Cricetulus griseus: one gene and its partner. Each later gene encodes a partner of the first gene's protein in a complex. Links are inferred from orthologs where the notes say so. Each region holds a gene or a part of one and is shown on either strand. Other genes may lie near its edges.

The links.
Region 2: the proteins of Rela (region 1) and Setd6 are in contact, whole or in part, in a crystal structure (PDB 3RC0), measured with the Homo sapiens proteins. The link is inferred for Cricetulus griseus from reciprocal best matches to the Homo sapiens genes RELA and SETD6. Residues at the interface, in NP_068810.3 of Homo sapiens: Glu307, Thr308, Phe309, Lys310, Ser311, Ile312; in NP_001153777.1 of Homo sapiens: Ser120, Trp122, Val220, Met221, Ala222, Tyr223, Ser224, Phe225, Gln226, Glu227, Pro228, Pro238, Asn239, Ser240, Pro241, Asn259, Leu260, Tyr262, Asn283, Thr284, Tyr285, Met288, Met296, Tyr297.

Annotation. Positions count from the first base shown.
Region 1 is NC_048596.1:53,704,338-53,707,837, forward strand, and holds part of Rela (transcription factor p65), read right to left. Parts: intron 3,013-3,500; coding exon 2,908-3,012; intron 2,729-2,907; coding exon 2,516-2,728; intron 1-2,515. UniProt on the Homo sapiens protein: NF-kappa-B is a pleiotropic transcription factor present in almost all cell types and is the endpoint of a series of signal transduction events that are initiated by a vast array of stimuli related to many biological processes such as inflammation, immunity, differentiation, cell growth, tumorigenesis and apoptosis.
Region 2 is NC_048596.1:171,902,358-171,906,393, reverse strand, and holds the start of Setd6 (N-lysine methyltransferase SETD6), read right to left. Parts: upstream 2,801-4,036; 5' UTR 2,772-2,800; coding exon 2,396-2,771; intron 2,314-2,395; coding exon 2,172-2,313; intron 2,080-2,171; coding exon 1,885-2,079; intron 1,764-1,884; coding exon 1,640-1,763; intron 733-1,639; coding exon 552-732; intron 459-551; coding exon 316-458; intron 182-315; coding exon 1-181. UniProt on the Homo sapiens protein: Protein-lysine N-methyltransferase. Monomethylates 'Lys-310' of the RELA subunit of NF-kappa-B complex, leading to down-regulation of NF-kappa-B transcription factor activity. Monomethylates 'Lys-8' of H2AZ (H2AZK8me1).

The DNA of each region.
Region 1 (3,500 bases):
GGATTAGTGACTGTGGTGACCTGGCATGTCTCAGCCTTAAGCCATGAGGTTCGGCCTGAGTGGGGATGTGTGGACCTGGAAACTCCTAGCAACCCAGCCTCGATAAAGACCAAACACAGGCATCTTGTCATCTTTAGAGAGCTCTCAGTTCCATGTTGTAAAACTGGAGTCTCTTCTCTATTTACCATCTTTTTGGCTGTTTCTTAACCATGCTTCCATGGCCACGAGGAGACCACTGCTGTCCTTCTGTTCTCCTCTCTGGTCGGATGGCTCCTGTCTGTCCTCACTTGTACCTTACACCTAGCACCTAGGCCCAGATGCAGGCCTATTCAGATGCTTAGGCCCATAGAGATGCAAACTAGGAGGCATTCTATACTAAGGCTATTGTAAACAATAGCAGACCTGCTAGCATTAGCAATACAATAGTGGGCCGGAGCTTTCCGTGAAACCAGAGGCTGGACCTCAAAACATTCTATAATGGAACTATTTTGGTCCCCCAAAAGTGATAAGAGACACAAGGTGGCACAAAGTCCACAAAGCTAAGTGACCTTGGTTTAGGTGTGCCACTGCCTCTACTGCTAGTGAATTCTGTTAAATCATTCCCCTAAAAAGGTGATGATACGCCAGGCATTGGTGGCACAGGCCTTTAATCCCAGCACTCAGGAGGCAGAGGCAGGCGGATCTCTGTGAGGCCAGCCTGGTCTTCAGAGCAGAAACACTGTCTCAAAAAACCAAAAAAAAAAAAAAAAAAAAAAACAAAAACAAAAACAAAAAAGGCGATGAGAGGTTAAAAGGACCACTCATAGGAAGGGTAGATACAGTAGACAGAGCTGAATAAGTTGGATGTCAGAGTTAGGGAAGAAATAGATTATGACTATAATTATATGTTGCTTGACAATGGGGGCACAGCCTGGCAGTGGTGGTGGTGGCGGTGGCGCACGCCTCTAATCCCAGCACTCAGGAGGCAGAGGCAGGTGGATCTCTGAGTTCGAGACCAGCCTAGTCTACAAGTGCTAGTTCCAGGACAGCCTCCAAAGCCACAGAGAAACCCTGTCTCAAACACCCCCCTCAAAAAAAAAAAACAATGGGGACACATCTTAAGACATGTTGCTAGGCAAATTTGTCATTGGATGAATATCCATTTTATTATTACCTCTGTGTGTGTGTCTGTGTGTGTGTGTTCATGTAGGTGTATGAATGTGCATGCATGTGTGTACAGATGTGTGTATGAGTATGTCAAAGCCAAGGCTCAATGCCTGCTTATATGTGTGAGCACCTTGTACATGCCCAGTGCCTGCAGAGTTCAGAATAGTGTCAGATCCCGTGGAACTAGACAGGGTGCTGGGAATGAAGCCTGGGTTCTCTGGAAGAACAGCAAGTGCTCTTAACCACTGAGCCATCTTTCCAGCCCCATCCACCTTAATTATTTGAGATACGATCTCACTATATAGCCCTGGCTGGTCTGGAACTTGTAAGGTAGACCAGGCTGGCCTTGAACTCACAGAGATCTGCCTGTCTTTGCCTCCCAAGTGCTGGGATTAAAGGTGTGCACTGCCATGTCCAGCCCACTTCATTTTTTGAGACAGTACCTCTCACTGAATCTGGAGCAAGGCTGGCTGGCCAAATAGCTCTAGAGGTCCGTCTATTTCCACACCATCTGCACGCTAGCTACACACGTTTGCTGGAGTACCCAGCTTATTATATGAGCATCTTTTTCATCTTTTTTGTTTGGTTTGTTTTGTTTTTCAAGACAGTGTTTCTCTGTGTAGCTTTGGAGCCTATCCTGGCACTCACTTTGTAGACCAGGCTGGCCTAGAACTCACAGAGATCCATCTGCTAGCCTCTGCCTCCCAGGTGCTGGTTTTACCTTTTTTTTTATTTTTCTTGAAATTTAAAGATTTATTTTATGAATATGAGTGCTATATCTGCACATAGGACCTATGCCAGAAGAGGGCACCAGATCCAACTATAGATGATTGTGAGCAACCATGTGTGTGGGTGCTGGGAATTGAACTCAGGACCTCTGGAAGAGCAAAGAGTGCCCTTAACCTCTGAGACACCTCTCCAGCCCTGGTTTTCTTTCTCTCTCTCTCTCTCTCTCTCTCTCTCTCTCTCTCTCTCTCTCTCTTTGTTTATATGAGCATCTCAAAGATTACTTACACAAACTAAGACACCTATGTCATTAGACAGTGTAGTTCCTCACCCCCCTCCCCCAGGTCAGAGTTTCTCTGTGTAGCCTTGGCTATTCTGGAGCTAGCTCTATAGACCAGGCTGGGCTCGAACTCATAGATTCATTTCCCTCTGCCTTCTGAGAGCTGGGATTAAGGGTGAGCCACCACTGCCCAGCTAGATAGCGCAGTGTTATATGACCACCATGGCATATGTGGTCTTTGACAGAAATACTATGTGCAATGAACTACAGTATGTATAAATCCTATGTGCTTGTCCCAGACATCCTGGTCTTTTTCCCAGCTGGGGTACAGAAGCCTTGGTACTGCTCTCCCTAGCATCACACCTGTGTCTGGCAGGTACTGGAACTCCATGGGCTCACTGAGCTCCCGATCAGAAGGCCGCCGAAGCTGCATGGAGACACGCACAGGAGCCTGCAGGCTGGGGTCAGCGTATGGAGGAGTCCGGAACACAATAGCCACTTGCCGGTGCACATCAGCTTGAGAAAAGGAGCCTCGTGCTTCCCAGCCTGGTCCAGTGAAATACACCTCGATGTCTTCTGCAGGAGACAGAGTAGTAAGGGTTAGTATCTGAATTCCAATGGACCTTGGTCCCCAACTCCTGATGCTTTTCCCCTGAGACGTCACCCTGTTTCTCCTGAAGCCACTGAGGTCCCTGGCACTCATCACCCTCTCAGCCTCACCCCGCCCCTCGTGGCACACATAGCCCAGTGTGTACCTTTCTGCACTTTGTCACACAGCAAGAAGATCTCATCCCCACCAAGGCAGCTCCCGGAGTTCCGGTTTACTCGGCAGATCTTGAGCTCAGCAGTGTTGGGTGCACCTGAGGATGTGACATGGATGGAAACCCTGAGCCACCACAGGTCTCCAGGGCACCCGACAGGAGATGTAACAGCGATGCCTGGCAAGTCCCATGTCAAGGTCTTCCTTCCACAGCTTGCTGACAACACTTCTGCAGACTAATCCCATCTGCTCTTCACCTCAACCAATTCAAAAACACCTCCTGCTGTGTGTGTGGAGCATGGCTCTAGAAAAGGCAGCAGAGCAACAAAGAGCCCAACGTATTCCTGTCCTCACAGACCTTACAGCCCAAAGGAAACAATCTGACACCTTGTCTCCCTCTGCCTGATCAAACACATTTTCAGCTTTTGGTTCATCTCTACCCTTGGCAATGAGTCTTTCCCTCCTCACTCCCAGTTAATCCTGGTTTCCGGTCCTTGGGGCTCCAAAGGCCTTTTATTTTCAATTGCCCTGCTGCTTACTAATCCATCAGTGTCAGCCCAGGTCATCTGAGAGCTTCCTGTGAGCTGC
Region 2 (4,036 bases), about 120 Mb from region 1:
TTTTTAAGTCGGTGGCATAGGTCTGAAGGGTCAGTAGAACACTGTCTCGAAGAAGCCGCTTCCACGATGCTTGGAGCTTGGGGATATTTGCGATTGCCAGACTGACCTCTTCTCTTTCTTCCTCTCCCTGTCCAGCCTGTTCTTTATAGTTTCTGAATTCCTCAGCAGGCATGCACAGTACCTAGAAGGAACATGGAGCCCTTCAGTTAGGAAGCACTACTATCTGTGAGCTTCAGGACAGATACACCACTGTAGGAAAACTGAGTCACCTTTGTCTTTAGTTTGGCTTTATTCTAAATATCAGCAGCCCTGTACCTTGAGTGTGGTGGCTAGCTCCTCTTCAGTCAACACCTCCTCATGACCAATCACAAAGGCTCCTTCTTCCCCTACCATCTCCAGTTTGCATAGGAAATCCCAGCGTTCACACAAGAGCAGCTTTTCAGCTTCATCCTTTGTTCCTGTGAAGTAATGGATGGAGATGAGCAGACATCGACTCCAGCGAGCCAAGTGCTGTCAGCAGAGTAAAATGGAACCTGGATGGGCAGACGCACCCTGCAGTGCAGCATCCCGGACTGTCACCATCTGAATGTCAGCTGTGTCGTCTGTGTTGTCAGGATAGGGCTCAGCAAAACCATACATATGAATCAGTTGCCAATTAGCCATTTGCCCATAGGTGTTGAAAATCTCATGACCTTTGGGAATGGGCTGAGTAGCTACCATCCGGAGATAATCCTGGGATAAAAGTGAAAAATAGGCCACACCTTAGCTCCCACCAGCCTATGAAGATTACTTCCCTTTTAGAAGAGCCTATTAAACTTACAGGCTGAGGCTACATACCACTGTCTGTTAAACTCCGTATTATAGAAGGGTAAAGCCAACTAAGCCCAAAGTCAGCTTAGTGTATCAGGTGCATCTGCGCCTAGTCATCTGCCCTTTAAAAAATGTTAAGATCAGGCCTGGTGATGCACACCCAGAAATCAAAACATAAGTAGGAATAAGTGAAAAGTTTTATCTGCTGACCTCTGGGGACAATGTCTTAAATGTTTATATATGGCTGGAAGTTATGTGGACCTGGAACCTTCAATTCTGCCTCCGCCTCTTGAGATTGCAGGTATAAGCCACCAGGCCCAGATAATTTGCTAATTTTTAGTCACACACGTGTCTTAAAATTTTTCATGCAGAACTGACACTAAACTGGAGTCTTACTATACCTCTGGCCCATGGACACACCACCTCTTGAAAAGTACTTAACCAGTGCTGTTCCATGATGCTGTCCACAGGGACTCACGTGACATGGCAGAGCAAGGCAGTTTTTTTGGTGGCCTTAAGACGTGTCCACACTTTTTTTTTTTTTTTTTTTTTTTCGAGACAGGGTTTCTCTGTGTAGCTTTGGGGCCTATCCTGGCACTCGCTCTGGAGACCAGGCTGGCCTCGAACTCACAAGAGATCTGCCTGCCTCTGCCTCCCGAGAGCTGGGATTAAAGGTGTGTGCCACCAACTCCACGTGTATCCACACTCTTACTGTCACTTGATACCAAAGTATACAGGAGAGTAGCTAATCTGACCCATTCATTTTAATGTTAAGTAGGAAAATGGAGCACAATGACTTGACTCATTATGCACATAGGGGTTCACTCACTGCAGAGTACTCAAGATTGGCATTGTGATTGGCTATGTGGTTTAGTAAATCTGCAGCAGGCACCATCAAGGGGGAGTTGGGCTCCTTTTCATCATCATCCTCTTCCTCCAGTGGTTCTTGAAAGCTGCCACAGAGAGAATTCAACTAAGGCCCTCTCTTGGGTGAGGGGCCTGGAGTTCAATGTTCTTCCCCCTCAACAATGTTCTAAAGATGAGGGTCTGCTCCTCCAGGCTTTTAACACTGACCTATAAGCCATCACAAGAGCCACGAGCTGACGATAGAGTTCCAGTGAGCGAACAGTGGGGCTGAAGAGATCGGAGTGAGCCTCCATGAAGGGCAGGACGATGGAATGGTATTCGCTAGTGATGTTCACCAAATCCTTCTCCACGGCCTCCGGGACACCTGTACCCTGTAGGAGGCGCCGCCGTTCCTCCTCTGGCCTGCAAGGATAACCCATCCAGGGCCCTTCACAGCCTGCCCCTGAGCAAAGTGGTTGAAACGGGTTCTCCCCAGCCCTTCCCTTGGCTCTCACCAAAACATGGGATGCTCCAAACGCCCGAGCTCTGGCCAGAGCGCGAAGTAGGGGCTCCAGGGTGAGGCTGGGGCCTGCAGCTCGTGGAGCAGCGCCAGCAGCAGCGGCACCCACCCCGACAGGCTCTGCAGCGCGCCTCGCTCTAGGGAAGACACCCGGTGAACGCCCGCCCAGGCGCAATCCGGCAGCCAGCCCCGGAGCCAGCCCTCCGCCCCCCTACCCACCTCGCTCCAGCAGGCCGCTGATGGAGCAGGTGTGGGGAGACAGAAGCGCCGAGCGCGGCACTGCGAACAGCAGCTCCCCCGGCTGCACGCTCTCCCGCGCCACCATGCCGTAGCCGGCCACCGTGCCCTGCCGGCTCACCGCCACCTTGGGACTCAGCTCCAGCCCCACTCCCGCGCACCAGCGCAGGAAGCCGGCTACCGCGTCGCCGTCGGACTGGCCACCGCGGGGCCACGCCGCCAGCGGGGAGAAACAAGTGGCATGGCCGCGCCCGGGAGCCGGGGGCGACAGGGGGGCGCGGGTAACTCTCCGGACCGGGCAGGGCGTGGTGAGGGGCGAGCCGCCACTCACCCGCGCACGCTTGGCCGGAGCCGCCATGCCGGGAGGCGCCGCGTCCTCCCGGCGCTTCCGGCGACGCTGGATGCTAGCGGACGGGGCGGAGCTCGGGTCCAGGCACCCACGCCGCGGCCTCCCGCAGCAAAGCGTCTCTGGCAGGACCTCCAGCGGCTTGACATCTCCTTTGCGCGTCCGCGAGCACACAGGCCAGGTCTGTGCTGCCTCCAGCCTAGTTCTGGGCGAGTACCCGAGAGCGGGGTGCAGGAACAAAATCCGGTTTCTTCCAGGAGTCTTAGCTGCTGCGCGGTAGTGACCGACCACCTGTTAGCGATAACCATCTATTTCACCGACTTTCGTTCGATTAGATAGTTTGCACGTGGGTTTGAAGTGGCCTGAATGTTTTCTACATCTAACAGACACACATATCCACAGTTGCTAATTTACTCGTTTTTCATTTTCTGTATAGAGATGATAGGCTCTTTCATTTTACTTTTCATACATTGGAAGGAGTCAATATCAGGTGAATGAACGTGGATAAGTTGGCAGTGTAATTCTAGTACTTGGGAGGCTGAGACAGAAGTATTACTGGGAGTTCCTGTCCAGCCTAGGCTAGGGTGAAACTGTCTCAAAGCAACAAAAACCAAGCAAAAAAAAGTGGTGTGTCCTTGCTTTGAAGAGGTCTTACTGGCTAAGCTATTTCCTCATCTGTGACACCGAGAACTAGTGTCAGGATCGGTAAATCGTGTCTCAATCAGGGTATATGGCCTCATGGTAGAACCTTGAGTATCGTGTGTGACCACACTGGTTCAAACCCCATCACCCCAAAGGAAAAACAAAAAGCTAGGCAAGGGGGGCCTACATAATCCTAACACCCAGGAAGCTGAAGCAGGATTTCAATGAGTGTTCAAGGCCAGCCTGGGCTACAGCATGAGACCATGCAATCCTCACTCCCACCAAAATGTGTGTAACAGGCACTGAAGGTATAAAGATATACAGAAACAATTGCTACCCTCCACCCATCCGAGCCGGAGACAGCCAGGAAACATGACACACTCATACACTTCATTTCTTTATTAGTTTTTCTGCACAGTTAACTTTCTATATTAATAAGGGTTTTTGTTTTGCATTTTGTCATCTCAAAATCTCTTATCAGCCACCAGAACACACAAAACTAGGCTCTTAACTTTGTACAGAGAGGAAAGTAATGAACTCCATTAAAAGTTCACCTTGACCAAAGAGGAGACAACCACCAATTGGGAAAACACACACAGGAAGACCTGATATACATATATATATTATATAATGTA